2 linked regions of the Alligator mississippiensis genome follow. The protein of the gene in region 1 purifies or fractionates together with the protein of each later gene. This does not show direct contact. Links are inferred from orthologs where the notes say so. Each region holds a gene or a part of one and is shown on either strand. Other genes may lie near its edges. The genes, in order: RNF114 and protein mono-ADP-ribosyltransferase PARP12.

Region 1 (15,273 bases):
TGCCCCTAATAGGATGGTATCTACATGAATGGCTAAATTACACTTTCATACAAACTCAGCAATCATTCTGCTATATTCTAAGAGTTTTATAAGGAATTACATACCACAAAAGTATCATAGGAAAACCGATGCCGCCTCTGAAGATGATCCATGAAATTGGCACTCCTGTAGTTGGGATCTCCCCATGGCATTGAGGCACAAATTGGGCAAACCTTTCAAAAAAGCCACAAAAGCCAATGTTGAATTCCCTTCATGTTCAGCTGGGAAGCACACCCTCAGAACTAGAGACCTCTTTAGAGGCCTTTCTTATTTCATGGCAATTTTTAGCACGCATATTTCCCTCCTGAAGTCCAGGGTCTTTGCCTCTAAGTAACCAATTTAAAAAACATTGAGAGAGGAAAGTGCCAAAGAAACAGAAAAAATGCTTCTATACGATTGTGAAGCTTATGAACACAGTTCATATAACCAGAATTTCACTTTGTATGCAAAATGAATTGAGAGTGTTTTGTCAAGCCACAGAACACTACATAAACCAATTGGTTCCTCAGATACTGAATTAACATAATTCAGAAGTTTGTGACTTTGAAGTAAGACTGGTAGTTTGAGCCTCCCTCTCGTGGAGGGCAAAATACTGAACTAAGTTTGCTTTCTAAAATACTTTTAGAAACCTTCATTTCTACAGATTATAAAATATCTGCACACCAACACTCCTGTAGAACATATTGATGTCTTCATAGAAAAAGAGACTGTGATTTTGTAAATTAAAACTAGAGAAGTTTTTCAAAACTACACCCCAATTATTAATTGTTAGAGCCAAATTCAAGTTTTGCTGTTTTTATTCTACTTACTGCCATATCTGTAGGTAAAGATCTGTGTAAATGCTTGTAACAATATTAAAAAGTTTACACATCAGACAGTGTTATATACTTTTGCTCAGGATTTAGGGAATGGTACATAAAAGGCTTGGATGTCAAAATTTCATTCCAACATTACTTGTAGCTTCAAGAGGTTAAGATGGCTAGTTTAGTGCACGTTTTTTTAAATGCGAGCATAGGCACTTAAAAGATGCTTTGATATCTTTCTGAAAACTTGTCTACCTCCCCACAGACTCCTCGAGAAGCGTGTTTTGAATTTGCCCAGATCTTCAAAACAAGAGTAATATCCAAACATTAACATTTTTGTATACACACAATTTTATTCACAAGGATAGTCCTATTTAACTCAAAAGGAATACCTGCAGTTTAAAATCAGGCATACACTTAAGTGTCTAAGGTCCCCGAGCAGAAATCACCGAGGGACCTAATGCTAAAACTAGCTTCAGGCTGCTGGCATATTTCTGCAACACCAGCATTATACTGAATCTGATACTGTAAGCATTACCACTTGTTTTGCATCCATGATGTGGTACTTTTTGCAATGTTCAACTAGTCCTTCCTGATCAAGGTTTCTCTCACTGCAGTAAGGACAAGGAAAGGTAAAGCGATTTGGAACATTCCTGGGGGAAAAAAAAAAAAAAAAGATTGTGTTTACATTTTAGAAAGTTAATACCTAATGAGAGACTGGCTACTCATGGTAATTTGAGAGAGAATATTTAAATAAAGAGCACTTAGGGTCACCACTTATTGTGTGATATATGAGCAAGCTGAATTTAAGAACTTGTTTTTTCTATCAGTGAAGAAATGACATCTCAAAGGGCAAAGTTAATACATCTGGCAATTACAGTTATTCCCTTACAAAAATATCAAGTTCAGCTTGCTTTCCTGGTCTGCACCATTTTTGTGAAGAATATGAAAGTTTGCCAGACAGTCTACAATATGGGTGACCAGTTCAATGTAGTCATTTCTCATTTCATTTCAGTAATTAATCAGAGACAGAATAACAAGTTTAAAACTAAAATAAAACGTAGATAGCCTTACCCAGGACCCTGATCTTGTAATAGTTTGTGCATGGGCAATTTAAGTCAGTAGAGCAGTGCACCTGGGCGATATCATTTCTGTATTAGAGCCTAGTTTAATTGTAATACAGCATTAAAAGAACTACTCCCCCTAGACTAAATGAAGATCTAACAGTCTTTGCTTGTACTTTCACATGCTGCACAAGAAAGTGCCTGCAACACACCAAATGCACCAAAACGTATAAAAACAAATCAGGAAAGCAAGTTTTGGCATTAACTAAAACTTCCACCATCAAAAATCTTTACCCAACCACCTCCCTGTAAATGACTGGAAACAGAAATACCTGGTGTTACAAGGTGGTTCTTTAGTTACAGCTTTCACACCTTCCATTATATAGTTCTGGTATTTTGAACAAGAAGCTGCATGACTGCGTAACTTTGAAAGGTACATCTACGCAAACAAGAGACAGAATGTGAAGGTTATTAAGGTTAAGTACAGGAACTACAAATCACAGGAATCAGAAAACATTCTGTTCAGAGAACATTAAAATAAGGAAAACTGAATGTTGTGGCACAAGGCAGTCTGTTCTGAACAGAAGCTACTCACTAGGTTAACATGCTACTTGTGATACATTATGATATAATATAATGTTTAGACTCCCTGTTCACCCGAGTACCATAATTCTTGCTTTTTTTCCCCTCTACATCAAAAGGAAAATAAACTAATTTCTACTTTGTACTAAACCAAGCCAACGTTCCAGCTCTGCCTGCCATTCTTCCCTGTTATGGGCTCAAATAGAGACAAGCTACTGAATCATTAGCCAATATATTGTATAAAAGTAAACACAACAGAGTATTAGGCCAGATGTAAATTAAGCGTGCTAGAAAAATACTTATGATCACAAGCTTACATTGTAACCATTTCTTCCTCTCATAGGGTACAATGATTCCTTGTTAAACAAAATGTTAGTATTGATATGTCCTACTAATCAGGGGTGCACCAATAAAGATTTTTGGGGGTGATACTGATGGCCAATTATTAATGAGCCATATTGGGCCAATGTTGATCCGACTGCTAATATGAAGCCCACCAACATGGAGAGCAGCGTCTGGCTGGTAAGTCTGCTCGGGGTGGGGGGGGGGAAGCAGGGAGGAAGGAAGGGGTGTGGTGGGGAGACAGTTGAGGTCTCTGCAGTAAGGGAGCCAATGCATCAGTGTACCTCTACTGCTAATGTTATTCTGATTAATTGCAAAGAGTATATAAGAAGATTTTATTAAATTTAGCAACTCGTTTCTCTATTCATTCTGATAAGACAAGTGTCAAACTGAGAAAGAAACCTAGTAAGAGGTCTATAACTAAATAAGAATTGAAGGTATTTGAATACTGATGCTTTCCAGAACTCTGACAAATGTGTGTGGCAGACTCTGGTAGAAAACAGTGGTAAATCTGGAGGGTTTATATTTTATTCAGACAGTAAAATATGGAGGCTACAGTTTTTTCTTTTATGACAAATCAACCTTTTTACAAATTTGAATACTTGCATTTTTTCTAGTACCCAAGAGTCAGAAAACAAAACTGCCTAGAAACGAAAGTGAAACTGGCTAGACCCAAGTTACAGGAAATGCAGCATGAAAGGCAAGCCATACAATTAAAAAAAAAAAAGTTTTAGTTGGTAGGAATTTGTATAAGGTATATCTAGAAGGAACCCTATCACGTTAAGGATTTTTAACTAATTAGCTTTAGCTTTATCTGGTGGAAGCTAGTTCTATGTTAGCTATTAAGCTATGCTGACTATCAAAAAGTCAATTGGTCACGTAGCAGAGTAATCAGGAGATAATCAATGTTTGTTATTTTTACAGCACTGCCATCGTAACAGCAGTGCTCTATAATTTCTACGCTGCAACGTCTGAAGTCTGGGCTCTGTATTAATAATATCATGGAAGGATAACATTTATGTCTACATTTTACATATTTCCACAGCATTAGACTCTTATCTGTACAGCAGAAGCTGGAGAAGACATGACTTTTACCAGATACCAGGCAGCACCACCATAGCAAACTACCCCAAATATACTGAATACAATTTCAAATAACTCTATCAGAAAGGTGCTTCTGTCAGTAATCAGTCCAACAGACTCTCCAGACAGGTTTCACTTGATTTCTCCCGGGACAAACGTTGCATTTATAAAACAGCATTCTCCCTGCAGAAATGTGCGCGCACAAGTTCCCATGACATCTTTACATTGCATGTTTGCTGCATACTTCAAATAAAGGGGCAAGTAATCAGCTAACAAACTGAAGTTCACCTCTCAAAGGAAGAAACAGAAGACACGGCTGGGGTGGGGAGGAGGAGAGGACATTGGTGTGCTACCAAGCATTATTTCTCTGCATTATTTAACAACATTAAAATCTTGATGGCTGACTCTCCAGAAGGCTGAAAAGAAAAATGTTATTTTCCAGGTGTGGCTAAATAGGGAATTGCGTACTGAAGTTTTTAAATGCTTTCATACTTTTTTATTGCAGCCACTGCAAGCAGTTTCTGTCATTTCAATTTGTTTTTCCAGATCCAGAGCTGTGCTGCCAGGAGACAGGGTACTACGGCAGACTCCACACACTGGCTTTTTCGGCTTAAGACATTCCTGCAGGCATGGAGCGCAAAAACTAATAGGGAAGAAATACAAGGTTTCTAAAAACGCATGCTGTAGAAAACGCCTGCACCGTTCCCAACGAGACCCTCACGGATATACCTTAAATTTGGCCAATAACGAAAGGGAAGTCACAAGGGACAACGCACATCAAAAACCTTCACCCTACCTATGTCACACTCAAAAGGGACAAACTGGTATCGAGGGCTACGTTTCAAGAACAAAACAGCTATCGTGAATGTTAGGTGCGGCCCCGTCCCTTGGTGCTCCGGCCAATTTATGGCCAAAGTGTTTCCTGCTGGAAGGTTTGGGGCTTCAGAAACATCCCACGCGAGCAACAAAAGCCGAGGACGGCAAAGGGCAGGGCGCGCTGCCGTGCAAACACAGGGGCTCTCTCATGACAGGAACCCGAAACTTAACTGGCAACAAAACCCACCCCTTCCTGCACCGGCACACCCCGCCGGGCTCGGGCAGGTCCTGCGGGGCAGGGGGGGGTACACCGCGGGGTAAACGGGCCCGGGGTGGGGGGGACACCCCTGGGCGACGGGTTTCACTGGACGAGAGGGCGCGACCGGCTCGCACAGGGCTGCCCGGCCCCCGCCCCGGTGGATCGCTCCCCCCGCCCGCTCGTACAGCGCCCGCCCCGCTCACACGTGTCCGCAGGGCGCCCGCACGGGGCTCTCGTAGACCTCCAGGCACACGGGGCAGAGAAAACGCGATAGCGGGTCTTGCGGCGCCGCCGCGGCCGGGTAGCGGGAGCCGTTGTCCGCCCCCGCCATGTTCCGCCGCCTGACTTCCGCGAAGCACTTCCGCATGCCACTCCCACCGCCGACGGTGGCCCGCAGGCGCCGGCGCGGCTACGCCCCCGTACAGGGCCACGCGCATGCGCGAAGTGTAGCTCCTCCCCACGCCTCTGGGCCTCGCGGGGGGGGGGAAGCAAAATAGTTGGCTCCGCCCAGCGCCGCTGGAGGGGGCGGGGCTTCCGTGTTGGAGGGCGGTGTGGAGCTGGCTGGGTTCAGCGACTGCTGCAGCCCCAGCCTCCTATCCTGTCTCTTTTGGGGGGGCTGAGATGGGCTGTTGGTGTTAAGTGGATGGTTTGTCATGAGTTTTATGCTTTTATGCACCGCCAATTGCTCCATAATTTCAACCCCCAGGTCCTTTTCTGTAGAGCCACTGCTTAGCCAGTCAGTCCCAAGCCTGTAGCGATGCATGGGATTGTTGTGTCCTATGTTACCTGTCAGCTCTGTGTTCCTGAGGGAGCCCTTGCACCCAGCTTGCTGGACTTACAAAGGACTTTTTGTATTCCCCCCCCCCACCCCTCATCTAACCAAAACTAAGCAGAAGAAAAGTTGAATAGGCATCTCTGGCCGTACATTCCCAGGTCCCAGTATGGGAGGTCTATTTAAACTTAATTGACTAAAACTTGGTTGCCGGGTTAGGGAATGCTGAGGCAAGAAACCGAGTCAGAGAGGGTACAGGCAACATTTGAACAATGGTTAAGGGTTCCTCACAGGGTCCAGCCCACTGGAGCCCTGAGCACAAATGCTGTCATACTTTTCCTGAGATGACTGGTGCAAGTCCTCCCCACAAAGTTTATAAACTCTCCAAGTAATCCCCTTAAGTACGTTAAAAGACTACAGTAAGATCTGAAAGTCATGTGAAGCTGAGGCTTATTCACAACAGGTAAAATACAAAACACTGATGCTGACTTCACAGTACAAGCATAGCTAGGCCATTTGAGAAGAAACAATGTGGTATCCCTTCCAGTATATCTTCTATATTCATAATAATTTCAAGCTGGCTCCTACGTGTCTGGTTACTCCTTAAAACTTTATGTTTTTCCTGGTTGTTAATCAGTTTCTGGAGATGTTCCAAACCAGATAATCCCTTGTCACTGAAAAAGGTAATTCATCTAAACTGAAACTGCTTATATAACAGGATTTTCCCTGTCAATGATGGCTTGGGACCCTCTTGATTTACACAATTAAACAAATGCTTTGAAGAAGCTGGACTATAAGGGTACAAGAAAGCTGTAAAGCAGCAGTGTGCTTCAAGAGAGAATAATCTCTCTGACACCATCCGCTATTGCTCTTGAGAAGCTGGGAGAAACAGATCATCTCTCGGTCGCCTGTTTAACTTTCAACTATTGTGCTAGGAACTTTGCCTGTCAACAAACCGCCCAAGTGCCTTGGAACGGTGAGATCCCAGCTCGCGCTCGCTCTCTCTTTCTTTTTCTCTCTAGGCATAGCTTTCTGAACCTGAATTTTATTAGTCAAGCTTGAGCTAGGTTTCCCCAAATACTCAATTAAAACAGGGTAATATTGTAATCATTTTTGTTCATTTTTCCTTGTATGTCTATTACTACTAGTACCGTCATAAATTTCATATACTTAGCAATAAATAACTTTTATAGTCAAACTAGTGGTAACTGGATGTATTTTTTCTTCTCTGCTTCCCCTTCCCCACTTGCTCTGCAGCAACACTGCTCATCAAGAGGCTATCAGTGCTAGGAAAGTAAGGGCAAAAGATTGGGATGTGCTGAGTTTAAGACACATAAGGGGATCAGCTTGTATAGGCTGATTGACCCAGTTTGGCTCAGATGTGCCCTAATGAACTGAATGCTGGCCCATGAGGGTGTCAGCTGGCCACCCAGCCGGATTCAGAGGTATTCTGTTCACCTGTGTGCTTGTGTCTGCCTGCACTTTATTGTTACCTTAATGAACTGATTCCTGGTATATGAGGGTGTCAGCTTGTACATGCTGATCAACCTGGCCGGGTCAGGCGTGTCACGTTAGTGTGTGTATTTGATGAATTTGGTGGCTGGAGGAACCCTTGAAACTGAGTCCTACAAGATAGCTCCATTGGGGGTGAGGACCTGCAGAAGGGAAAGATACAGCTCTGTATAGAAACACAAGTAACAGAAGCAGCATATTAATTAAATTACAAAGACCCTAGAAACGTATCCCTAATAAATGCGCACACCCCAAAGTGATGGGCAAATCTGGTAACACCGAAGTGCAGGACTTTGCATTTGTCCCTGTTGAACCTCATGAGATTTCTTTTGGCCCAGTCTTTCAATGTGTCTAGGTCACTCTAAATCCTAGACCTACCCTATTACTACCCCCAGCTTGGTGTCAGCTGTGAACTTGCTGAGGGTGTAATCCATTCCATCTTCCAGATCGTTAATGAAGATACTGAACAAGACTAGACCCAGGACCGACCCCTGGGGCACTCCACTTGATACTGACTTCTAACTAGACATTGAATCATTGATCACTACCTGTTAAGCCTGACGATCAAGCCAGCTTTCTATCTACCTTACAGTGCATTTATCCAGCTCATACTTCCTTAGCTTGCTTGCAAGAATGCTGTGTGAGATGGTATCAAAAGCCTTGCTGAAGTCAAGTTATATCATGCCAACTGCTTTCCCTGCATCCACAAATCATTGATAACTACTCTTTGAGAGCTCCTTTTCACCTAGCTGTGCATGTGTCTTACCACTAATAAATTGCTTTATTTTTCAGCAACAGGGACTGAAACTCTATCTTGATTTTACAAGCCAGAAAATATCTGTGGTGCTGCTAAAATATGAATCTCCAAATCTCATACCTCCTGGCTTAGTTGCCTAATTTCCCCATGCTGAATACTGACTGAGGTTTCATTTTCCCCTGAAATACTAGATATTGGCTACTATTCACAGCAAGTCACCTTATGCTTTAGGATTTGATTTTGTAAGTCCTTTTGCACTGTTCAGCAGGAAGCATAAGGTGCTGCACTCCAGGTGTGAGCAGAAGCTATATGTGGGTGCTAGTGCTAAGTATAGAAAGCTGACCTGAAAGCTAGTCTAAAGAGTCCCATTGTCTTCAATGAGATTTGAATCAGGTCCAAAGTAGTTCTGTTTCAAGGGCGAGAATAAGAGGCAAATCCTTTGCATACCTGCATCCTTATACAGTACAGGATAAAAAAAAAAAAAGAGGTAGTGGCACAGGGAACAATGAGTGTCCAAGGAGCTACACTGTGGCTGCCTTCATCCTACCAGGCAAGAGTCGGTCATGCAACAGCCCTGTTAATACTTTGAATGCCTTCAAGAGACATTTGAACGTTTATCTTGCTGGGATCCTATGATCCCTGCTGATTTCCTACTCCTGGGGCAAGGGGCTGGACTCGATGATCCTCCGGGGTCCCTTCCAGCCCTAGTGTCTATGAAATCTATGAATACAGAATCAGGTTCCCTTGTACTCCTGCCCATCAGTTATACACACACCATTTCAGCTCTGCCATGCAGGACTGACCAAAGTAATTCAGAAAACTTTGTGTACTGAAGAGAACTTTTTAGACTGAATGAATAGAAAAATTATATACCTTTCATCTAAGAAAGAAGCCTCTCTTCTTCCAAGAGTCACTGCAATACATGTTTTGCATTACAGAGCTATTTTCCCAGTTCTCTATTCCACTCTATGAGTTTTAACTTAACCTTTTTTTAACATTTGGTTGGGACGAAGTTAGAGAGAAGGGGGGTGGTGTGGAATGTAAATTAGGAAAAATAAAAGAAGAAAACATTCTGTATATGTGAAGCCAACTGCTTCCATTACTGTGCCAAGTGACAGTTGTCATGAAACTAGCTGTATTAGAAAATCAAAGCCATAAACGCACTGCCAATGACAGAAGAATTATTTTCTTTTATCACAATTGTGCTTGTCATACCCCTATTACACGTGTACACCCAAGGGGAGAGATGGTCTCCCATTTCAATTTGTAAACCAGCTGCAACAAGACTAAGTTGCAAAAGTTTAATATTTCCAATTCAGTATGAGCTTTTATCATGTCAAACATGGTTCCTGATACCTGGATCATGTAAGTTAGATTTCATTTCTGCATTGCTGCTGATGAAAATGATGCAGGCTTCCAGAATACCATGCTCGCTAAATGCTCTATCAGATGGGAGTCTCTTGCTGTATATGAAACAGTGCACTGAAGCTGCAGAGAGAACAACTGTGTTTCTGAGAAACACTCAGCATTGTTCTGGCAAAACACTCAGCTTTGATTCAGCCATAAAGCACACTCACCCACAGCTAAGAACTTAAAAAGTGATTGATTGCTGTAGAAGAACAAACCTATTATGGTTCATATAGTGGAAAAAGTGCAGACTTCTAGGTTAAAAATCAACTCCCTTCAGGCAGAATGTAAAGGAAATTGGAGTTGGTTAGACCCAGGCTGATTTTAAGAGGACCAAGAGGTAAATGTTCCCATGTTACTGAAAGCAAACAAATGCTTTTAAAAATAGCTAAAGCAGCAGAGTGTAAGTAATTGGTGTCGGCAAACAGAATCTATTTGGTTTCTGACATTAGCCCCAGGACTGAAGATTGTCCACATTTTATTCATTATGTTATTACTCACATATGTTTTGAGTGTCTTGTAGTAGCAAAATGTGATTCTATTTTCCCCTTCATTTACCTTCAAGACTGCTCTGGCTCTGGAATAAATATTGACCTTTTAGAAAGGGGTAATGCAGCTCTTATTCTGTGGTTTTCAAGATAAGTAGATATTAAATCAGTTTATAAAATAATTGTATAATGATTCAATAATTGCTTTCTGTTGTGACTGAGTAGCTACATCCTGCATTATTTAAAAGAGCACTTAATTTTTTGTCTTGCTTATGCTGGAATAAATTTCTTTTACCTTAGGAAGTAAATCATTAGCTCTAATCACAGATAAACCACAGGGCTAGATTCACAATAGATATTTAGGCAATTAAGTCTTGCATAGGTATCTAGCTCTCTCTGATTTGAATGGGAGCCTAAATATTTCTGTGGATTTGGGCTGATGTATTCACCACAACCCCTTCCTCCTAATCCAGTTTGATCTGGAACTCAACAGGGATTTAGATTTCTATGTGCTGAATTGACTCTCAGTGGAATTTGATGATCTTGCCAGACTGGACCAAAGTCTACATCTTGCCAAACTGGACCAAACTCAGCTGCTATGGAATTTAAACTTGCAGAAACACAGAAAATGCCCCACATGTTGCCAAACATGATCACTAATGGGCACACATTTAATTACCATCCGACAACATAAGTATCTCATTAATATGTTGCACCTTTACCCTTTTAATGTGCTATGGTATGGTTACCTCTCACTGTTCAAATAGGGTTGTGTTAGTACTTGAACAGAAGCCATGCAAGAACACCTAGCAGAGAGCAGGGTGTGATGCAATTTGTTATTTCTCATGAGTCAGCCCTGAACCAGGTGGAGAGAATGGAGGAAATTATGCAGCTGGAAGTGGCCTAATCTCTTTCAGATGAGAGTACAAAGACCTGACTATTTAGAGTCATTAAAAATCCCAGAGCGCTGAGAGTTCAAACCGGATTAGTAACCTAATGGCCCTAGTTAAACTTTTCTTTCCTACCACTCACGTGCAACATCCTTTGTCACCCCACAGGCAGATGCACTGAGGATCACTGCTGTACTGCATACACTGAAGTGCTATGGATGCCCCAAAAACAAATATCACCCCCCACTGTCAATTCTTGAGAGTTTTTTGACAACTCCCACATAATTTAATGTTTCTCCCAAAGCCTCAGCTGCCAGTCCTATAATGCCATGAGACTCACAGTTTCCATTAAAATACTTCCAACTTTTGTGGCTGCAGAACACATCAGGAATGAGACCAACGGGAACCTCCAAGGACTCAGAAGACAAATGAAAACAGAAGCTTCTTTAAAGGCATCGTGACTTTAGAACCATTAAGTATTTCCCACATTTCTGGGCTTCACTAGTCGCTCCCCCACCCCCTTCTGCTTCATGTGTCAGAGGGGTTTAAGACTTGGGCATTGGGTGTTGGCTACAGCCGAGCTTGGGGGGACTTTGGGGGGTGCATATGCTCCTGTTGGGACCAAAGCCAGAGGCTCTTGGCTAGAGGGTTTTTTGACCCTTTGCTCAGGGTCAGACTGATACTCAGGGTCAGGAAAAAATGTTACCCCATGGTCAGACTGGTACAGCCTGGGGGGTTTGCCTTCCTGTGTAGCAGGGGTGCGGCCCTCAGCCTAGGATCTCGAGCGTGTATCAATGACATCCTATAGAAGCAGGACACCGGCTGCCTGGTTCCCCTGCCTTACCCATGGCAGGTTGGGGTGTGAGGCTTGTGCTGTGTTGATAGTGACAGTAGCCTTATGCCAAGTTTAGTGGAGGTTTAGATAGGGTGGTTAGGACAGGGGTGATGCTACCTCAGGAGGGGCTGGGCAACACAACCTCTAGAGGCCTCTCTCAGCCCCACTCCCCTGACTGCAGGGAGCCTTGGCTCTGCCCCATGCAGGGGGATGCTGTCTCTTGCATGTGAAGGCACCTTTCCATGTCACAGAGACCACCATAGCAGGACAACACATCTTGCTACAGAGGTGGCAACCCCAAAACCCCTCCACAGGGGCAGAGCTCAAGTACTAGCCCAGACTGAAGAGAGCCAACAAAACCCTTCTCATAGGTGCCTACTCCTCTCGCCCTTTAAATCCTCTCGATGACATCACCCTCGGCGTGACGTCATCAAGGCGCATGCGCATAAAAAGAAGGCACGCTCCTTATGTCATCCCCCAACCATCTACTTCCGGGTTGTAGCTGTCACTCCCCTGTTTCCGGGCGGGGGCTCAACCCGGTGGGGGAAGGGGTTGCGGGATTTTTTTCTCTCTGGATTCGGAGAGAGAAGCGCGCATGCGCGAGCCGCTCTGCCGGGGTTCGCCGCTGGCGCAGCGCAGGGGTCACTTCCGGCTGTGGGGGGCGCTCGGGGTCTGCATCCGGGTCGCGGGTGACTTCCGGCTGGCGGTGGCTGCGGCTCCGCTCCGTGAGTGCGGGCGGCCGGGCGGGGCCCGGGGTGGGAGCCAGCGGGGGACGGAGCTCCCTGCGGAGCCGGGGGAGCGGGACTAGGGGCTGCGGGAGGGAGCAGGAGGCGACATCCCTGTCCGGCTCCGGCCGCGGTCCTTCTGGGCTCAAGCCGCCTGCGCTGGTGCGGGACTCGGGCTACTTCCCCCCCCCCCCGCGGGGCCGGGCCCGTTGCTGCGTCGGGACGAGCCGCGCGCGCCGGTTGGGGAGGACTGCGGGGCTGCCGGGCAGCGCTGGGTTTCCGTCTGGGCTTCCTCTGAAAAATGCCTCCTTAAAACAGCCCCAGAGCTGCCTGCGCCGGGGGCAGAAATGGCTGCAGGGAGGCTTTTCTGTGGAGTGGGGGATTTTTTTGCTGCCCGGCTGCTTTAGAGACGTTGTGTGCAAAATCAGACCTTGCAGACACATCCGAAACGGCAGCTTTTGTTGTGGGACAGAAGTGATTGCCTTCCTTAGACGCCGGCTTTCAGCGGCTGGCCTGCTGTAGCGAGAGCAGCTGAAGGAGGGATGCCACCGCTCTTGCCGAGGCAGAAAGCCATGAAGGTGGCACTCCTTGTAAGAAAAACAATCCGCACCCAAATACCCGCCAGCAAGGCTTCTTCAGATGTGTTTGGAACTGGGTTTTAATACTTTAGAGGAAATGGTTGTCGTTGAATAAGGGTTGCACGTGCATGTTTCTTGCTTTTTTTTTTTTTTTTTTCTTAGTCATTTTTCATCTGGGATTTCTTAACATTCCCAACCATTTTTTGTGGCTGAGTGTTTTCCTATGTTCAGTGCAATTCTGTAGCTGTTTTTAGTGTATGGCAAAATCTTTAGAGATGAAAATCCTTTTTATCTCGCATAAAGATGATGGCCTAAGTAGCCACACTGTACGTTTTCCTCATGTTGCTATGACCGTATGTTCGCTCCTGTCTTACCTTGGGGATAACTGAATCTCTCTGGCACATCTACCCTTTGACTTCCCTGCCACGACTTTTATTGAAGGGACCAGATTTAGATGTTTTTTCTTTATGTCCGTCCGCTAGACACTGGGCTAAGATCACCACCATTCACTAGGTCAGAGATCAGCCATAAGACATTAAAATCTTGTAAGTCACTTGCAGTGAAAGGGCTTTGTATTTTGATGAATTCTCTTGAGCTACCACTGTTCTTCCAGCTGTATTAATCAAGGGCAAGTTGTGTACAGTACTTACCAAGTACTCTAATCGGAGATGTCAAAAGTAAACTGTTTCCACCTAGCACCTATGGAAACCCACCCCATGATTAGTGAACTGGTTGAGATTAGAGTCTGAACTCCCAGAAATTGTAAATGTTAACAGGCAAAACAGATGCTCTCGAAAGCTGTCATCTGTTGTCGTCGTCTTTCATATTTTGATTTGCAGCCATGTTTTTAGTGAACCCTGGCACATCCACAAGTGGCAAGTTGTAATTGGAGCTGGAGGTGGCTATGAAAGTCGCAGTGCCTGAGGTCTTTATGAAGGATCCCCCTCACCCCCTTTTTTTTTTTTTCCTTCAGAGGATGTTTTGTCTTGCCAAACAAAGCTGCTTCTTCATACATCTCTCAAAAAAACAGAAGAGTTAAAGCATTCAGCTCCCTACCAGTTTCAGCTTGTTCCCCATCATAATCTAGTTTGCCCTGAATGACCTAAATGATTTTCCTTTGGAGTTGTGTCCTGTAGTCTAATTGTCATTGTTTTTAATCGAGTGACAGAATGCTGCTGCTTTTATTTCTGTAAAGATCAAGGTAGTTACTGTTGGCAGTAACTTTTAATATGTAGTGGAGAAGTTCACCTTTCTGAATTTTTCAGGCTGACTGCAAACCCAGGAAGACAACACTGTTAGTTTACATGTGCCACAGTTGGGAGATTGTGCTTGTAAAAGTAAAGATTAGACCTGTACATCAATTAAAAATGAAAGCTTATATTATGTCGGATCTGATGTCCAGACCACAAATACAGCAGGTGGTCCATGTCCACTTGGACATCTGTGCTTCAGGGATTTAGTTAAATAGCACTTTGTAAGTCGGGGAAAAGAGCTCTTTTGTGCAGGAGACCTTAATTCAGTGAAGCCAAAGTGCAAATGTCAATTCCTAGGTAAAAACCATAAATGACTGGTTTGCGCTATGTTAACATAATCTTTCAAAGAAAGCAGCGGCACCAACTTTTTGGCCTTTGGATATAAGTGCCAGTTGCAGACTAAAACCTTGGCTGTACCTATCAATGCCTGCTCTGTGTATTGAGCTGTATATGCACTGTTCCAGCATTGTGAGAGATGTTTAGGGTAGCTACAGCCTGGTGGCAGATTAGACTCTGTAGCTGGATGAGTTTGTATGAAAGGCATGGATAGAAGGGGTAAGGCAGATTGATGGTCTCTCCAGTGCATGGATCAGTGTCCTACAGCTAGAGAGAAACACGGGAGTGATCTGTAGTTAAGCAGAGAGACCCCCTCTGCATTCTGTCTTGCAACATTTCCTCTGATGCAGCCAAAGTAAAATGATTTTTCTCTTCATGCGACTTTACTAAGACTCAAGTCTCCAGTGTGTTCATGGTACCTAGGCCCTTTAGTCAGTAAACTGTTGTGTTCTGATGAGTAGGACTCTGAAGGCATCCCAGCTGCCTCTACAGGCTGAGGCTGCATCCATTTGGCTTGGGCACAATGGGGAACATCTGTATAATAGTTGGAAGGGTACTTCAGGGAGAACGAGGCTTGTGTCCACATTCACAGAAAGTTGAAGGGCCTGTGGTTGGACTCCTCTGCTATGTGAACTATTTCCTAGACTTTAAGGGTATGCTAAACTAGTATAGATGGTGTGACTTCTCTCTTGTGTTTTTGTTTTTTATTTCAGAAGAATTGCTGTTACTGAG
Region 2 (15,243 bases), on another chromosome or scaffold:
CAATCAAAGGCTCTGATCATACACATGCCTACACATGCTTAACTTCAAGAACATGAGTAATCTCATTGACTTTACTGAAATTATTCAGAGTAGGTGAAGATAAGTCCATACAAGAATATACATGGGCTCAAGTTGTTTATTACTTTCCTCATCACAGGATGTAACTGTACGATATCTGGATTTAGCCAGCTCTAGGAAAGAGCAAATGCTAAAATCAGATGAGCACTGAGGTCCAGTCCAACTTTATGATTCAATGCTACTTCTTTTGTGACACACACTGTAAAGGAAGCAGCAAATTCTGCAGTAGTGCTTACCTCAGGTAAAAGTGAAGGATCATTCTGAAGCAGAAGTTGGCACAGTTCATCATCATTTAAGCACTCAAGCCCATGGTGTTTCAGAACAGGTAAGTTATGCTCCGATCGTAGGTTATGAATAAATTTGCATTCTTTCCTACATGTTTAAGAAGCCAGACACATAAGAAAGTGAACTGAATCAGCATAGTTTCACTAGAGGAGATACGTTAGATTGAACAATTTATACTGCACACAAAACTAACTAGTCTCAGAGAAAAATTACTCAGAGGATCATTACCATACCATTTCCAATTTACTGCCATAATTACTGAAAACTCATTGGCAGTATTACAGAATGCCAACAATAGTGCTTATAAATACCAGATCACCTGGTAATTATATTCACTTAATAGAGAAGGAGCAAGAATAACAGTCTACATTTCCAAATCACCCATTGACATTATAGTCCTAAACTTGAGCAATATGAAATATTCAAATTCTGTATGGAATTTCCTGAGTGCCTCATACATATAAACAATCCTGGTGGTTCTGCATGTTTGCTGCCTATTATCGGTGTCTTGAGCACAACGGCATGTGCCTGATGCCTGCTCCAACATGTTTGATTTAGAACACATCCCAGCAGACTTGATTGATCGAGCCTGCTGGAGCATGCTAATTAGCGCACAAGCAGCCTCGGCATCGCATGTATTCAGCCTCCCCACACTTTAAAATGGTGGCAGGGGCACTTTAACTCATTGAATGAGCTTTAATTAAACTGCCCCGGCCACCATATTGAAGTGCAGGATGCTGAATACACGAGATGCTCCCGAGAGCCGCTCTAATTAAAGCACCACCCCTCGCCCCCCACTCCAGAGCACATGTGATGATGCCCAATGTGACTGCATAATTGAAGATTACTTTTAAATTATGGCATGTTTGCACTGGAGATTTTAAGTTGTTTTTGTTGCGCTTTAACCAAGCCTCTAGTCCTCAGACAATTTTACTGTGCTAGTAGCATTTTTCCCCCACTAGGTTGAATCCTGCAAGCATGCACACACTTTACTGTGTTGTTAGTATAAGGAATTAGAAATATCTTTTGAGTATTCAGAAGTAAACAAATATTAAGATTGTATTCTGCTCTACTCTGTATAATTTTCTCACCCAGAAGACATTACGTAAATGGGGTGCAGTCAGACAAACTCCCCAACACGCACATATTTGCAGTCCGTAAGAGACAAGTTTAAGGAAAGGAGCACATGACAAAGTTGGTGTTCTCTCCCTAAACTCAGTCCACACAGCATTCTCATGCTCCTCACCTTGCTTATATAAAACTTGCTCTCCCTACTGATCTGTCTGAAATGCTACCTTATTCCTTCCTCTCCTCAACTAATAGGTGAACAGTGAATGATGTAGGCAGAGATCCACAGACTGGATCCAGCTCATGATCCAGTCTGTGTTTTACTAATGGCATGCTGATCCCTCTTGGATTAGATACATGATTTAAGCCACAGAGTATGAATGTGAATCCAGCCCGCATTCCACATTGGAGGCCAACCCCATGCTGCAGGCATATTGCGGAGGGCTCTGTAGGATTCCAGCTCAAAGCAAAGGGCTCTTCCCTCCCCCTCCCCACTGCAGCCTCTGCTCACTGTTTGCTTGCTGCTGGCTTCACCACTCAGCATTGTCTTTGACCACAGTTTTCAGTGACACATTTTTCAGAAGCTGTATGAGGAGGGTGAGATCATAGTCCTTCACAGAGCTGGGATGCAGCAGAGGACTGACAGCCTACTGTAGGAAAAGGTAGCCACCCCCTGACCTAGGCTGAGCACAAATTAAGACAGAGCAGGGGTCAGCAAGGTTTTGCAGTGGCAGGCCAGATCAATTTAGGTTGCATCCAAGGCAAACCAATGCTTCCGCCCTGCCACTGTTGCCCTCACCACCTCTTCTCCATCCCCTGACTGGTGCAAGTGGAGCCCCCCAGCTCCGCAGGCCAGATCCAATGACTCTGTGGTTTGGATACTGTTGATCCATTGAACAGAGTAACAGGGTTGGAGGAAAACATCTCTGCAAGGGGCAAACAAGACATAAGACCTCTAACAAAAGTGGGCAAGAAGGGAAGAGTACAAGTGTATTTGGGGGCGGGGAAAAAACAACTTACAACTTAACCCCCAAAAACAAGGAAATAATTTTTCAGAGTCAATCATCCATCCACACTTCATTCTAGGTCCTTTACTCAACTACACCCCTTCCTCTGGTAGGCTACCTTTCACCTTCATCTTAACTAAAAATGCATGATCGGACATAAACCTGGCTGCTGGTTATTTATTTATGGATTCATTGTTGTAGCTTCTACATAAAAATGCTAATGTTAGATTGTCTGTATATACCACCTGTTCCCACTGCTTTAAAAATATATTACAGGAACAACACACACCATATTATGGCCACCATTCACAGTTAGTCTATAAATTGCACATTCACATGAAGCAGGCAGAAAGTGATCTGCTAAAGCCACAACCACCAGTGTAAATCAAACCATGTGAATAAACCAGTGAATGTGGTCAGAATTCAAACCAGTCTGCTAGCTGCTCAGAAAGAAAGTAGGGTGGACTGGGAAGGGAAATAACTGATATCAAGCAGGAAATGGTGAGTTGAGGCAAAAAATTAAGTTTGCTTAGAATCATAGGAAAGCAGAGCTGGAAGGCACCTCATGAAGTCATCTAGTCTAGCCCCCTGCTCAAGGCAAGATCATCACTGACTAAACCATCCCAGCCCAAGGTTGGTTCAACCTGCTCATGTGAAGTTCCAGGGATGAAGAGTCCACAACTTCTCTGGGTAGCTTGTCCCAATGTTCGGCCACCCTCAAAGTCTGCAGGTTGTTCCTCATATCCAACCTAAATTTCTTTTGGTGCACATGAGGCCACTGCTCCTAGTCCTGTCCCCTGTGGGGACAGCAAACAGGCTATCTTCATCCTCTTTATAAGGGCCCTTCTTCCTTAGATCCTCTTTAGAATCACTCTACTTCCTTAGATCTAATGGTATCTGATGAAGAGTCACCCAATCCAGCAAACTACCTTGTTGTAAGTGAAGCTTTTTATGAAATATTTATTTAGTATCCAGAAGTGTATTAGCAATCTACTGAAAATAAATGTTTATGTTTTTATCTGATAAGTTTTGATTACACAGAGCTCTCTTCAAAAATGGTGCAACACATTAATTTAATTAAGCATGTTCACTTCCTCTCAATAAATGCAGTTGCACAATTGCAATGCATTTCTCTCTCTTCTATGGTTTACACAATCATTGCAAAGCATGTGAGCTATTTTATCTTGCTCTGTACCTTTAGGACTATGTGGCCTACATAAATACATAATTCTGAGTATATCACACTCTATGGCTTAAATCACATCAAGCAGACATTTCATTTTTTTCCAGCTGGGGACAAAGCAGTGCTTATTCCAGGAGGAAACTATTAGAAGGGCTGTCCTGAGGGGTGCTGCAAGTCCAAAAAAGGCTGAGAACTGTTCTAGTACTACACTGAGCCCCTACGGGAAACCTTCACTCCAGGAAATGCCCTGAAAGCAAAAACTGGGAGTAGGAGATACAGTGAAAAGTTGGGCTGTAACTGTTGAAGCCAAGACAAAAACCAGCAAGCATCCCGTTTTCCAAATTCCTCTGCCCAAGGTTAGTGTAACAGATGCCTCTATAATACTATCAACATCAATAAAAGCCATTGTTCACTTTAAATGACAAAATGGACAGGAGAAAAATTGCAACTACCCTCATGCTGCACCCAGCAACCATCCCACCTGTAAAAAGTGGGCAACCTGACAGGTCTCCAACTTTCTGAAGCCCTCACATCTGAAAGTAAAGAACCTTATTCTCTACTCCAACTCTGCCCTCGGTTGTTAAAGGTCTCCCCCCACTTTATGGTACAGACTGTAGACATGTCCAGGTAGCCTTCCTCATATGACATGCCTTCTGAATCCCTTTGATGGAAGAGCTGAATTGCACTAGATGGAAACAGCGATAGGGCTGTGCGAAACAGCACCACTTCGTTTCGACTTCCATTTCACTGTTTCGAAGGAACACTGTTTTGTTTCGCTGTTTTGAAGCACTGTTCCATTTTGTTTCATCAAAACTGTTTTGCTGTTTTGACATTTCGTACATAGGCTATAATAGAGAATCACAAAAATGCCTGTAACTCTGTCATTTCTTTCCTGATTCAAATGAAAAGAGCATGGATGGCAGCCCCCTTATGAGGCCATGAAACCTGCCAAGTTTCAAGGAGACAGGTGCAGGAGTTTGAGGGAAACTGAACCTCAAACTGTTCAGAGAAAAACTCATGTCACTTGTAAGCATGAAGGCACAGAGAAACCTCAGTTCAAGCAATGCTTTTTGTGCTGTTTTTCCATCCCTCCAGAGCACTGGAATTGGAAGGGACCTCAGGGAAGAATTACAATCACTTGTCAGCTACACAGTCAATATTAGAGCAGTCCTTCCCCCCACTCTTCCCTTTCCCTCTCCTTAGTTTCTGTTAGGTGCAAGCAAGCCAAGCTTCAAGTGCCCTCAATTCTTTTTGAAGTTGTTTTGAAGCCTTTTGTTTCATTTCGATTTCGCTGTCTCAAGCTCAAAACCTGTTGAAACAGCTTCAAAACAAAACACCTGGCAAAATTTCACACAGCCCTAATAACCACTGAACCCCTGAGCAACGTGCTCACCTACCAAACAGCAACCCACGTCCCCTGCAACACATTACATATGTGACAACTGACTGGGAAATCACGCAATAAATTTAGACTGGCCACCCGTGCAAAGTAATGATCATGCCATTCACTGGCGAATAGTGCAATAAACTTAGCCAATGCATTGCACAATAAATCCAGACCGGTGCAAACTAATGACCACACCATTAGTCAGCAAAGTGCGCAATAAATTTAGGCTGGCCCCATCTGCAAAGTAACGATCACACCATTCACTGGTAAACTGCAAAAAATTTAGACCAGCCCAACCAGCTAAGTAATAATCACAACGTTTACTAGAGAGCTGCGCAATAAATTTAACGGGTGAATCACACAATAAATTTAGACCAACCCTGTATGTAAAGTCCCGATCACAACGTTCACAGATGACCCGTGCAATAAACTTGACTGGTGAACCACGCAATAAATTTGACTGGTGAACTGTGCAATAAATTTAGACCAGCCTCACTTACAAAGCAACGGTCACGACATTCACTGGCAAATCACACGCTAAATTTAGGTTGGCCCTGTGCAAAGTAATGATCGTGACATTCACTGGCGAATCACGCAACAGATTTAACTGTCCAATCCCGCAATAAATTTAAATCGGCTTCAAAGTAAGGATCTCCCCACACAAAGGGGTGCCCATTTCCTAAAGGAACCCTGCCACAAAGTCAGGGCTTGATAAGGTGCCCCGCCCGGCTCTACGGCTGCTATCCCCTGGGGCCCTTGCAGGAGGGCGGGAAGTACCCGTGCCTAGGGACAGTTGCTCTGGGGGGCATGGGGTGGGAGCAGAGGGGTCAGGGAGGCCTCCTAGGGAGGCAGGTCATGGCCAGCCCAGGATGTCCAGCAGCATGGGGCAAAGCCGAAGGGGGGGGGGGGGTCCTAGCCCACAGGGTGATGGGGCACTGGGGGGAAATGTCCTTGGCGGGGGGCACCACGGTCTCAGGGTACCTGGGGCTGGGGGTGCTCTGGGGTGCCCCCGAGTACCAGGGGCTTGGGGTGCCTGGGGGTATGCGGGGGCTGGGGGTGCCCAGGGGTTTGGGGGGCTGGGGCCGGGCGCTCACCCTGCGCGCTGGTTGCGGCAGCAGCCGTAGACAAAGAACTTGCAGAGGTGGAGGCGGCCGCAGGCGCCGGCGCAGCCCGCCAGGGGCTCGGGGCAGAGGCGCACGGCACTGGCGGCCACCACGACGACGACGGGGCCGGGGCCGGGGCCGGGGCCGGTCCGGCTGGCCAGCACGAACCTCCGCGCGTCCCGCAGCTCCCGCGCCAGCTCCTCGGGCGGCGCCGCCAGCCGCCGCTGCAGCTCGCCCTGCTCCAGGCAGCCTCCGGCCCGGCACAGCGCCTGCAGCGCCCGCGCCCCCAGCCCGGCCGGCGCCGGCGGCGGCAGCGCCATGGCCAGCGCGGCCGTGCCGGGCCAGTCCCGCGCAGGCGACTGCGGCTGCGGCGGGAAGCTGCGCTGCGGCCCGCGCCAGGGGCTCCGGCTGGCCCCCGCTCCCGCTCCCGCTCGGCCGCGACCCCGCCGCATCGCCCCGCGCCGCCGCCTCTCGCCGGTCCTGAGGCGGCGCCCAGCCCGGGGAAACGAAACCGAAAGGGCTGCGCGAGCCCGGCCCCGCGCTCTGTGCCTCCCCCCCGCCCGCCCGCCCGCTGCTGCTGCCGCCGCCGCCGGGGGGGGGATGGCGGGCTGTGCCCAGCCTCCGGCCAGACCCCGGCCCTGCAGCCAGGCACCAGGCAGGCTCCGGGCTGGTCCCCTGTCCCTGGTCCCTTCACGCCCCGGGCAACATCCACTGGCCCCGTGCGAGGTCCTGGGGTGCTTGTCCAGTGCACTCAGCTTGGTGTCGCCTCAGAAACCCTCGCTCCCGTCCCCGTTGTGTTTTTATTTGTCCCGAGGAATGGGCGCTAGGCCCCTAGTGGCCCCCATCGCCAAGGGGGCTTATAGCTTTACTTGGCTGGTCCCCATGGCATATCAAAGAGCCCGGCCCTGCCTATGCTGGCAGTACATCTCACCACGAAGGAGGCTCTGGCCGGGAGGAGCCTCCGAGGACTGCGGGGCCGTTCCTGTCCCTGGTCCATTCGCGTCTCCAGGCAGAGTTTTACTGGGCAGTGTCCACCGGCTCCTTGGACTCGTTGGAGGGCCAGTGGGGACTATCTGGTGCGCTCTGCTCTCCACCCCGGGCATGCACTGTTGCTGTACGCACGGTGGCAGCAGAGCAGACGGTGGGGGCACTGGGTGCAGTGCTGTGGCAGCGAGGCGTGGTGGTGGCGCTGTCACTGGCCACCACAAAATTAGTTTTGTGGGGGCTAAGCCCTGTTAGCCCCGACTTTCTGCCACCTATGCCAAATTCCCAGTATGTGTCAAGTAGGCCTGTCAGGTCCCAGCACTCTCCCCGCTGTCCTTAAGGCCATGTTCTCAACCTTTTAGACTGGAAAATCACCCTCCCCCGCAATAGACTTGAGGTTCGCCTAGGTGGACTAGACTTGAGGGGTCTCTCTTGGAAGAGGCCAGGGCTCAGCTTTCCTTTGCTTTCTGACTGCAGAAAAACACTATAGCAATTCTGCTGTTGCGAAGGACTCGGCCCACAGCAGGCCAGAAGGTTTGGCACCTAGGAATTCCTCTTGAAACTCCCTGGGTTTATCACAGGAGTCGTGTGTGCTTTGTAACATCGTGTGGCAACCCACACCACCCCTCGAAGGCTCTCAAGGCATCGCAAAGGGTCAGGGCACCCTGGTTGAGAACTGCTGCTGTTGTTATGTGCCCGCTCTGCCACTGCCTTGTATGACAATTTGTTGTTCCCCATGGTGGGGGGCCCCCAGTTGCAGGTGCCTTGCCTCGCTTTTCCTGAGGGGAGCCCAGCAAGTCCATTCCCTCCACCACTTCTTTTATATTGCACTGCCCTGCAGGCCCCTGCATTCTATGTTATGTTTTACGTCTACATGAGACACTATGTCACTGCAGTGATGAGCTACAGGGACGCAACATCAGCAGGCATGAACTGTGACTAGCTGAAGTCATTGCAGGACCACTGGTGAACCTCTTTGAGAATTTGTGGTGCTCAGGAGAGGTCTCAGAAGACTGGAAGAAGGCCAATGTTGTGCCCATCTTCAAGAAGGGGAAGAGAGAGGACCCAGGGAACCAGAGGCTGATCAGCCTGACCTTAATCCCAGGAAAAATCCTTGAAAAATTTCTCAAGGAGTCCATATGTGATAAACTAGTAGAAGGCAAAATTCTGAACAACAGCCAGCATGGTTTGTCATGGGTAGGTCATGTCTGACTAACCTCATTTCCTTCTATGACCAGGTTACTCACCACCTGGATAAGGGAGATGAGGTTGACGTAATTTACTTGGACTTTATGAAGACCTTTCACTTGGTGCCCCATGAGGCTCTCAAGGTAAAACTAGGGCAGGGGTAGACAACATTTTTTGGCCAGAGTGCTGAAAAAACCACAATGTCTACCTTGGAAGGTGCCAGAGTGCTGACATGCTGGAGCCTGGAGCAGCTGTTTGCAGCTTCCCGACTACAGTCAGCCAACGGAGCCTGATGTGCTTACAGCAGGGCTTGCAGCCTCCCAGCTGGGAGCAGCCTGGGCTCCATGGCTGGCAGCAGCTGCTTAGAGCCCAGGCTGGTGGTGGTGTGCCAAGCAAAATGGCCTTGCGTAGCATGCTTGGCACGTGTGCCAGAGGTTGCTGACCCCTGAACTAGGGAATTATGGGCTCAACAATTCAACAGTTAGACGGATGGGATACTGGCTGTGAGGTCGGACCCAGAGAGTACTAATAGATGGATCTGTGTTGACCTGGCGGAAGGTAGCCAGTGGGGTCCCCCAGAGGTTGGTACTTGGAACAGTGCTTTTTAACACCTTTATCAATGATCTGGATGTGAGGGTGAAAAGCACTGGCAAAGTTCACCAATGACATTAAGCTCTGGGGATGTGCAGCCATGCATCAGGGTAGGCTGATGATCTAGGCGAAACCAAACAGATCAGTGAGATGGGTAGCCAGAACCAGATGCTGTTCAACACTGAGAAGTGGAAAGTGCTCCATCTGGAGAGGAAAAGTCCACAACAAACTTACAGGCTCAGTGGTGCTACACCAGCTAGCTTAACGTCCAAAAGGGACCTGGGAGTCATAATTGACCATAAAATGAATATGTGCCACCAGCGTGATGCCACAGTTAGCAGAGTGAACAATACGCTGGCATGCATCAACCGATGCATCTCAAGCAAAACTAGGGGAGTTATTCTCCCGCTCTCCTTGGAATTGGTGAGGCCACAGTTGGAGTACTGCATCTAGTTCTGGGTGCCATGTTTCAAGAAGGATGTGGAGAAGCTTAAGAGAGTCCAGAGCAGAGCCACTCATATGATTATAGGCCTGAAGAGCAAGCCATACAAGGAAAGGCTGACAGGTATGGGACCATTCAGCCTACAAAAGATGACTTCAGGGGGATTTGGTGGCAGCTTCCAAATATATCAGGGGAGAGCATCAGGGGCTAGGCAAACAACTATTCACCAAAGCGCACCAGGGGAAAACCAGGAGCAATGTTCATAAACACCTAGAAGAAGGCTTCATGCTAGATATAAGGAAAAACCTCTTCATGGTTCATGTAACCAGACTTTGGAATAGATTCCCAGTGGTGGTGGTACAGGCATCTACCCTGGAGATCTTCAAAAGGAGACTGGACACACATCTTGCTGGGGTTATTTAACCCCAGCAGTCTGTCCAGAGCAAGGGGGGCTGGACCCAATTATCTCACAAGGTCCCTTCCAGCCCTAAGCTTCTGTGAATCTGTGATACCGGCACTACTGTGCAGTAGCTCGCTGCTACTGCACAGTAGAGTCAGAAATGACCCATGCGGCACTGGGACTGCATGGTACTGGCGGTTACTGCGCAGTCATTTCATACTTGCTAAAGTCTGTGAAGTTGTGTTGAGCTGCATAGTTGCTGCTGTGTGTTGAATTTTTGGTCCCTGTGAGACTGGCTAGATCACTCCAGGGCCAGACTATTATTGCAGTCAGATGCAGTGTCTGGACCATATTTGTGACTCCCTGTGGTGAGGGAGTGAGTGACCAGCTCAGTAAAGCCTCCCAGTAGCTGAGGCCACCTGTCTCACCAGTCAGTTTGACTATTAGACTTCAGACATCATGCCCTCCCTTACCACAAGGAGTCAAAATACGGTCCAGACACTGCATCTGACTGCAATACTGGTTTGGCCCTGGAGTGATCTAGCCACTCTCACAGAGACCAACAATTCAACACACAGCAGCAACTATACTCCACAGCTCAACACAGCTTCACAGACTTAGAACATAGAGCTCAGGCATACAGGCACGCACCTCTCACCACTCTCATTCACCCTCTTCACATGGATCCAAGTGCACATACATGCACTAAAAGTCACAGAGACTCACACAGAGAGACAGAGACACTACATACCCCCAGATCCTTCGGCTGTGTTATTTTATATCAGTGGGAGCTTGGTAACTCACCCCCTCATCATCCTCCAATCAAGTCAAGTCAAGTCAGTCCCAAGGCTGCTACAACTGTTTAGCTGCCTTAGATGTTGTAACAACCCTCCTCCACTCTGCCTGTGTTTGGCTAGCTTTGTGCACCCTATCAGTTGAAGCCCTGTTCAGTCCTTAATATTGGTTCCCCAGCTTTTCTTGGGTCTATATCTTTTTCTCTTTCCCTCCACAGCATCCTGCATTCTGGTGTTGGCAAGAGTGTCTGGTCTTCTTGCGATGTGTCCAAACCTCTCCAGCTTTGTTTGTTGCACAAGCTCCAACAACAGTTCATAGGTTCCAATTTCTTGATTGATTTGTTGCTTGACAGACTTGTTGGTCCAATGCTCAGTGTATACTCCAATCATGTTTGCATCCTCCAATCATGTAGTGAATATTCCTGGCCCCTTGGTGATAGAACCTGCCACTCATCCAAACTACTACAATCTTTCACTCAACAGCACTTATTTCTCACTTTTACCTCAAGCCTGTGGCCTCAAATACCTGCCAATCACACTACCTTTCTTGCTAAAGCTCAAACATCAACTACACATGCTCACTCATAGAAAAGTAGGCTAGAAGTTAGAATTTCACCCCTTCCAGGCTTTTCTTAACCAAGCCTCAACTGCTCATGCCTGACAATTCATTTGCTGGAATAGCAGGACAGAGCAAAAACCTGGGGTCTACACCCCTTTTCTTCTACCAAGATCTGCCATGGCATCTGTTTTGCAGGCTCCCTCTCTGCCTGGCCTCTTAGGACCTCTTGCTTCCTGTGTTCACTCTCAGCCAGTGAGAACAAGAAAGTGATGGCAGAAGAAGCTAGACAAACAGCTGGGGCCCAAAGATTTGTCATAACACCCAAGTACCCATGTCCAATTCCTAGGCATCCTCAAACCCAGCCTGGCACCATACCACCTCACACCCTCTTCACCAATCCCACTGGGCAGGCGCCCCACTCCCTAGCTCTTTTCCCATCCAGCTCACTCAGTTACATCACCAACACGTTTAGTTATCCTGCCAACTACCAAAAGCATTTCCTTTCCAAGCGAGTGTGAAGTGTATGTTCACTAGGGGTGTGCAAAGTGGGCCCTATTCGATTCGGACTCGGCCTGAATCAGGGACAGTTATTCGATTTGTTGATTCGGATCACTGTCCCTGATTCAATTTGGGCAAATCCAATTCTGAAGATTTTATGCTGATTCAGAGAATCAGTGATTCGGAGATAGACACAGCTTAAAAAGTTTTTTCTACATACCTTGAGGTAGCAAGCGCAGCTCATGATCGCTGTGATGCTGGGGCCCTTGGAGCATCCCACAGGAGTGTTGGGGGGCCCTCCATATGTACTTCTGGTCCACTTCCAATTCTGCTGGGGAGTGTGCTGGGGGTCTCCCCGTGCCTCCCCAACCTGGTGATCAGCTGTGGGGGGACCCCAGGTGCCCCCACCCCAGATCCAGAAGGCACCAGTCACCGAGCCAGGGAGGCATGTGGGGGCCTCCCCAGCATGCTCTCTGGCAGACCCAGAGGTGGATCAGAAGTGCTTCTGGTCCACTTCCAGGTCTGCTGCTGAGCATGCTGGGGAGCCCCCCACACTCCTGTGGGGCACTCCATGCACCCCAGCATTCATGAGCCCCTGCTACCTAGAGGTACGTAGAAAAAATATTTAAAGCTGTGTCTATGTCCAAATCTCCGAATCTTTCTGAATCTCTCTGAATCGATTTGGAGGGTTCCGATTCGATTTGGGTAGATTAAAGGGTCCTTTGATTCGATTCGGATTCAGAGATTTGGCCACTGAATCGAATCAGGGACCGAAGCTTCACACAGCCCTAATGTCCACCACTGTGCCTTACTCTGATAAGTTATCGGCATAGATTCCCATAATGAATCTACCTTAGATATCTACTTTAGAGCATTTCTGATGTATTAAAGGAGGGATATCAAACTCATCTGGCCTGTGCCACGGGGCTGGTCCACAGACTGGCTGAACAGTGCAGAGCCAGTCCTTTGGGCCACACTGGGCCCAAAGAACCCCCAGCATGTTAGATCCAGTGCAGTCTGTCCATCTTTGCTAGTCTAGGATAATACCAGATGTGACACCTATGCAGAGCCAGTCTGAGACCCAAGCCACATATGGTGTTTGCTCCAGCTGGTCCAGGACCTTTGCTACACATGGCATCAGCCCCAGACCTGCTGGGGTGGATGCTACATGCAGCATAGGTCCTGGACTAGCCAGAGTGAGCACCACATATGACTGGCTGGACACCACATGGTCTGTGTCTCAGGCCCTATATGTGGGCCCTGTCCAGTGCATGCTGTATGAAGCATGTGGCTCAATTCTGAGACCCAGGGACATCACCAGGATCCAGACAATGGGACTTCAAGGGCTGGATATGGCCCACAAGCCATGTCTTGGACATTCTTGTATTAAAGCTCTCCAGTCAACACAGTGTGAGGTTCCCTAATCTCAAATCCCTTAACTCATTGGGCTAGTGGGGATTTAGTAGCAGATTGATATCAACTGCACCAAACTGCTAAAACTTTTGACGTCATTCCTCAGCAAGCACAGCATAAAAAGAAACCGACATTGAAACTGAGTTATCTTACCACAGCTAGTGGTTCCTGGAGTATATTGGTTGAGGGAAGTTCGTCCTGCTGCTGCCGGTGCTGTCCCTACTCTCTGACTACATGGAGGTTTTCCCAATGCTCAAGAGCAAAACTATCAGCCTGGCAACATTCACAAGCACAGAAAATTCAATTAAAAGACAAATCAACACAGACAAAGATCAACGTAAAGAAGGTTGCCAGTTTGCAAAATGGCCTTTTCCCCTTCCCTCATACACATGCCAAAAGTCATTGCTTGTTCCTATTATAATAGAAGTAGTCACACAAGTTTAAACATGTTCCTCAGGAAGAAAAAAATAAAAGTACCTCTTCAATTTGACATAACTTCCCCAAGTATGAATTACATATAATCAACAACATTATATTTTCTTCTCTTTAGAAGTACTTGGTGCTAATAGGAAAAATGTCTTTATTCATAACAATCCAATGTCTCCAGTGTAAGAATTGCTTATGTGCTAGTCGAAGAGGACAAAAAGCAACTAATGCCTTCTTCACCTACAACATACCGAAGATAAAGGTAAGGATACTTACTTATTTTATTAAAGATCACTGTAACATAATTCCATCTGATCTATTATGCCTAGGCCAAATTACCACGTTGGGTGCTGAGCCTACAATAGGCTCTGCACAAAAAGCCCGCGTGGATTTCTGCACAGCTGCAGGGGTCAGCCCACATTTTGTTTATAACAGGAGCTGGGCTTTAGTGATAGCAATTTCAATGAATGACTCTGCCAACATCTTATTTAAGGACTGAAATGTTGCACCATGAAAATGATATACTTTATGCTATCTTCAAGTCTGAATGACTAGCTTGGTAATCATACATTCCCAATAAGGTTATGGATAATTACAACTGTATGTTCCTTATTGCTTGAACAGCAATTGCAGAAGAAACAGTTGTGTGTTATATTTTTAATCAATTATGTTTGTTCAGTGAATTTGAGTCTCTGAAGCCCCCCAGCTCCACTATAATAGAATGAAAGTGACTGCATTTCCCTTCCTTTTTTAAGCTCTTCCATGAGATAGGGAGTTTTCCTAGACAGGACATTTATAATTAATAGACATAGAATTAATTCTCCCCAATATGGATACTGGGAGTTTTTCAAAGGTTTTAAAAATTATTTTAGGGAAGAAAAGTGGCAGAACAGCATAGATTCTAAGTATAAACTATGAGTTTAAATATTTTAGAGTAGGACAATTAGCTTTGATCTAATCTAACTTCATGGGCCACTGTCTAGTTTAGAAGGTGAAAGAATACACTACATGGATCTGTAAGCTCATTTGAGCATCTTTCAACATCTGAGTTCATTGAAAATTCAAGAATATTTTTTTAACATACCTGGAGATATCTCCAAAGCAGAATCTTTGAAAATGTTTTCCCAGGGAATGGCTGACTGGGCTAACCGAATGGTTATCCAGATGGCTATGTTAAATTCAGGTTAACCTTGTTTTCAGCTGTACCAACTGACTGGTTTTGTAAACTCTTTTCTTCATATATTATTTGTGGAAAGGCACTATGTCAGGGGTGTCAAACTCATCTGGTGCCACAGGGGTCATGCTGCATGGGGTGGCCACTCCACCACTCCAGCGCCATGCTACACGTGGAGGCTTCTCTGAGATGAACCACTGGATCTGGCATGGAGCCAACATGCTGGATTGGGCACCACATGTGGCACATCCCCTGAATGGCTGGAGCAGGTGTCATGTATAGATTGCAGGACCATCCAGCACATCCTGCATGCTGCCTATGGGTCAACTCCAAGACCCGCAGGTAGTACTGTGGGCCAAATGATAGGGCTCTGTGGGCTGGATTCAGCCCATGGGCCATGTCTTTGACACTCCTGCACTATGTGATACACCTCCACATACAAAGTAGTCATCTACCATTTTTAAAGATTTTCATAGTGACTCACTATACATTGTTTACAACAAAAGCCAAGACCATTAGAACAGAGCCAAGACCAGGAACTTGAGATTTGATGCAATACATGAGAGGAACCAGGCTGTGGAGCTGTTGGCTTTCCCTAGGGATTTTGCAACCGCTTATAGAAACTGTAATAGCTAGTGGTATATCTACTACACTAGCCAGAGC

The links.
Region 2: the proteins of RNF114 (region 1) and protein mono-ADP-ribosyltransferase PARP12 purify together in Homo sapiens (affinity purification with mass spectrometry; 3 studies listed by BioGRID and IntAct, counting the BioPlex papers as one, with this or other methods). This does not show direct contact. The link is inferred for Alligator mississippiensis from reciprocal best matches to the Homo sapiens genes RNF114 and PARP12.

Annotation. Positions count from the first base shown.
Region 1 is NC_081832.1:13,431,449-13,446,721, forward strand, and holds the start of RNF114 (E3 ubiquitin-protein ligase RNF114), read right to left. Parts: upstream 5,356-15,273; coding exon 5,192-5,355; intron 4,557-5,191; coding exon 4,406-4,556; intron 2,346-4,405; coding exon 2,239-2,345; intron 1,496-2,238; coding exon 1,381-1,495; intron 213-1,380; coding exon 105-212; intron 1-104. UniProt on the Homo sapiens protein: E3 ubiquitin-protein ligase that promotes the ubiquitination of various substrates. In turn, participates in the regulation of many biological processes including cell cycle, apoptosis, osteoclastogenesis as well as innate or adaptive immunity.
Region 2 is NC_081827.1:107,906,797-107,922,039, reverse strand, and holds the start of protein mono-ADP-ribosyltransferase PARP12, read right to left. Parts: upstream 6,605-15,243; 5' UTR 6,564-6,604; coding exon 6,103-6,563; intron 451-6,102; coding exon 315-450; intron 1-314.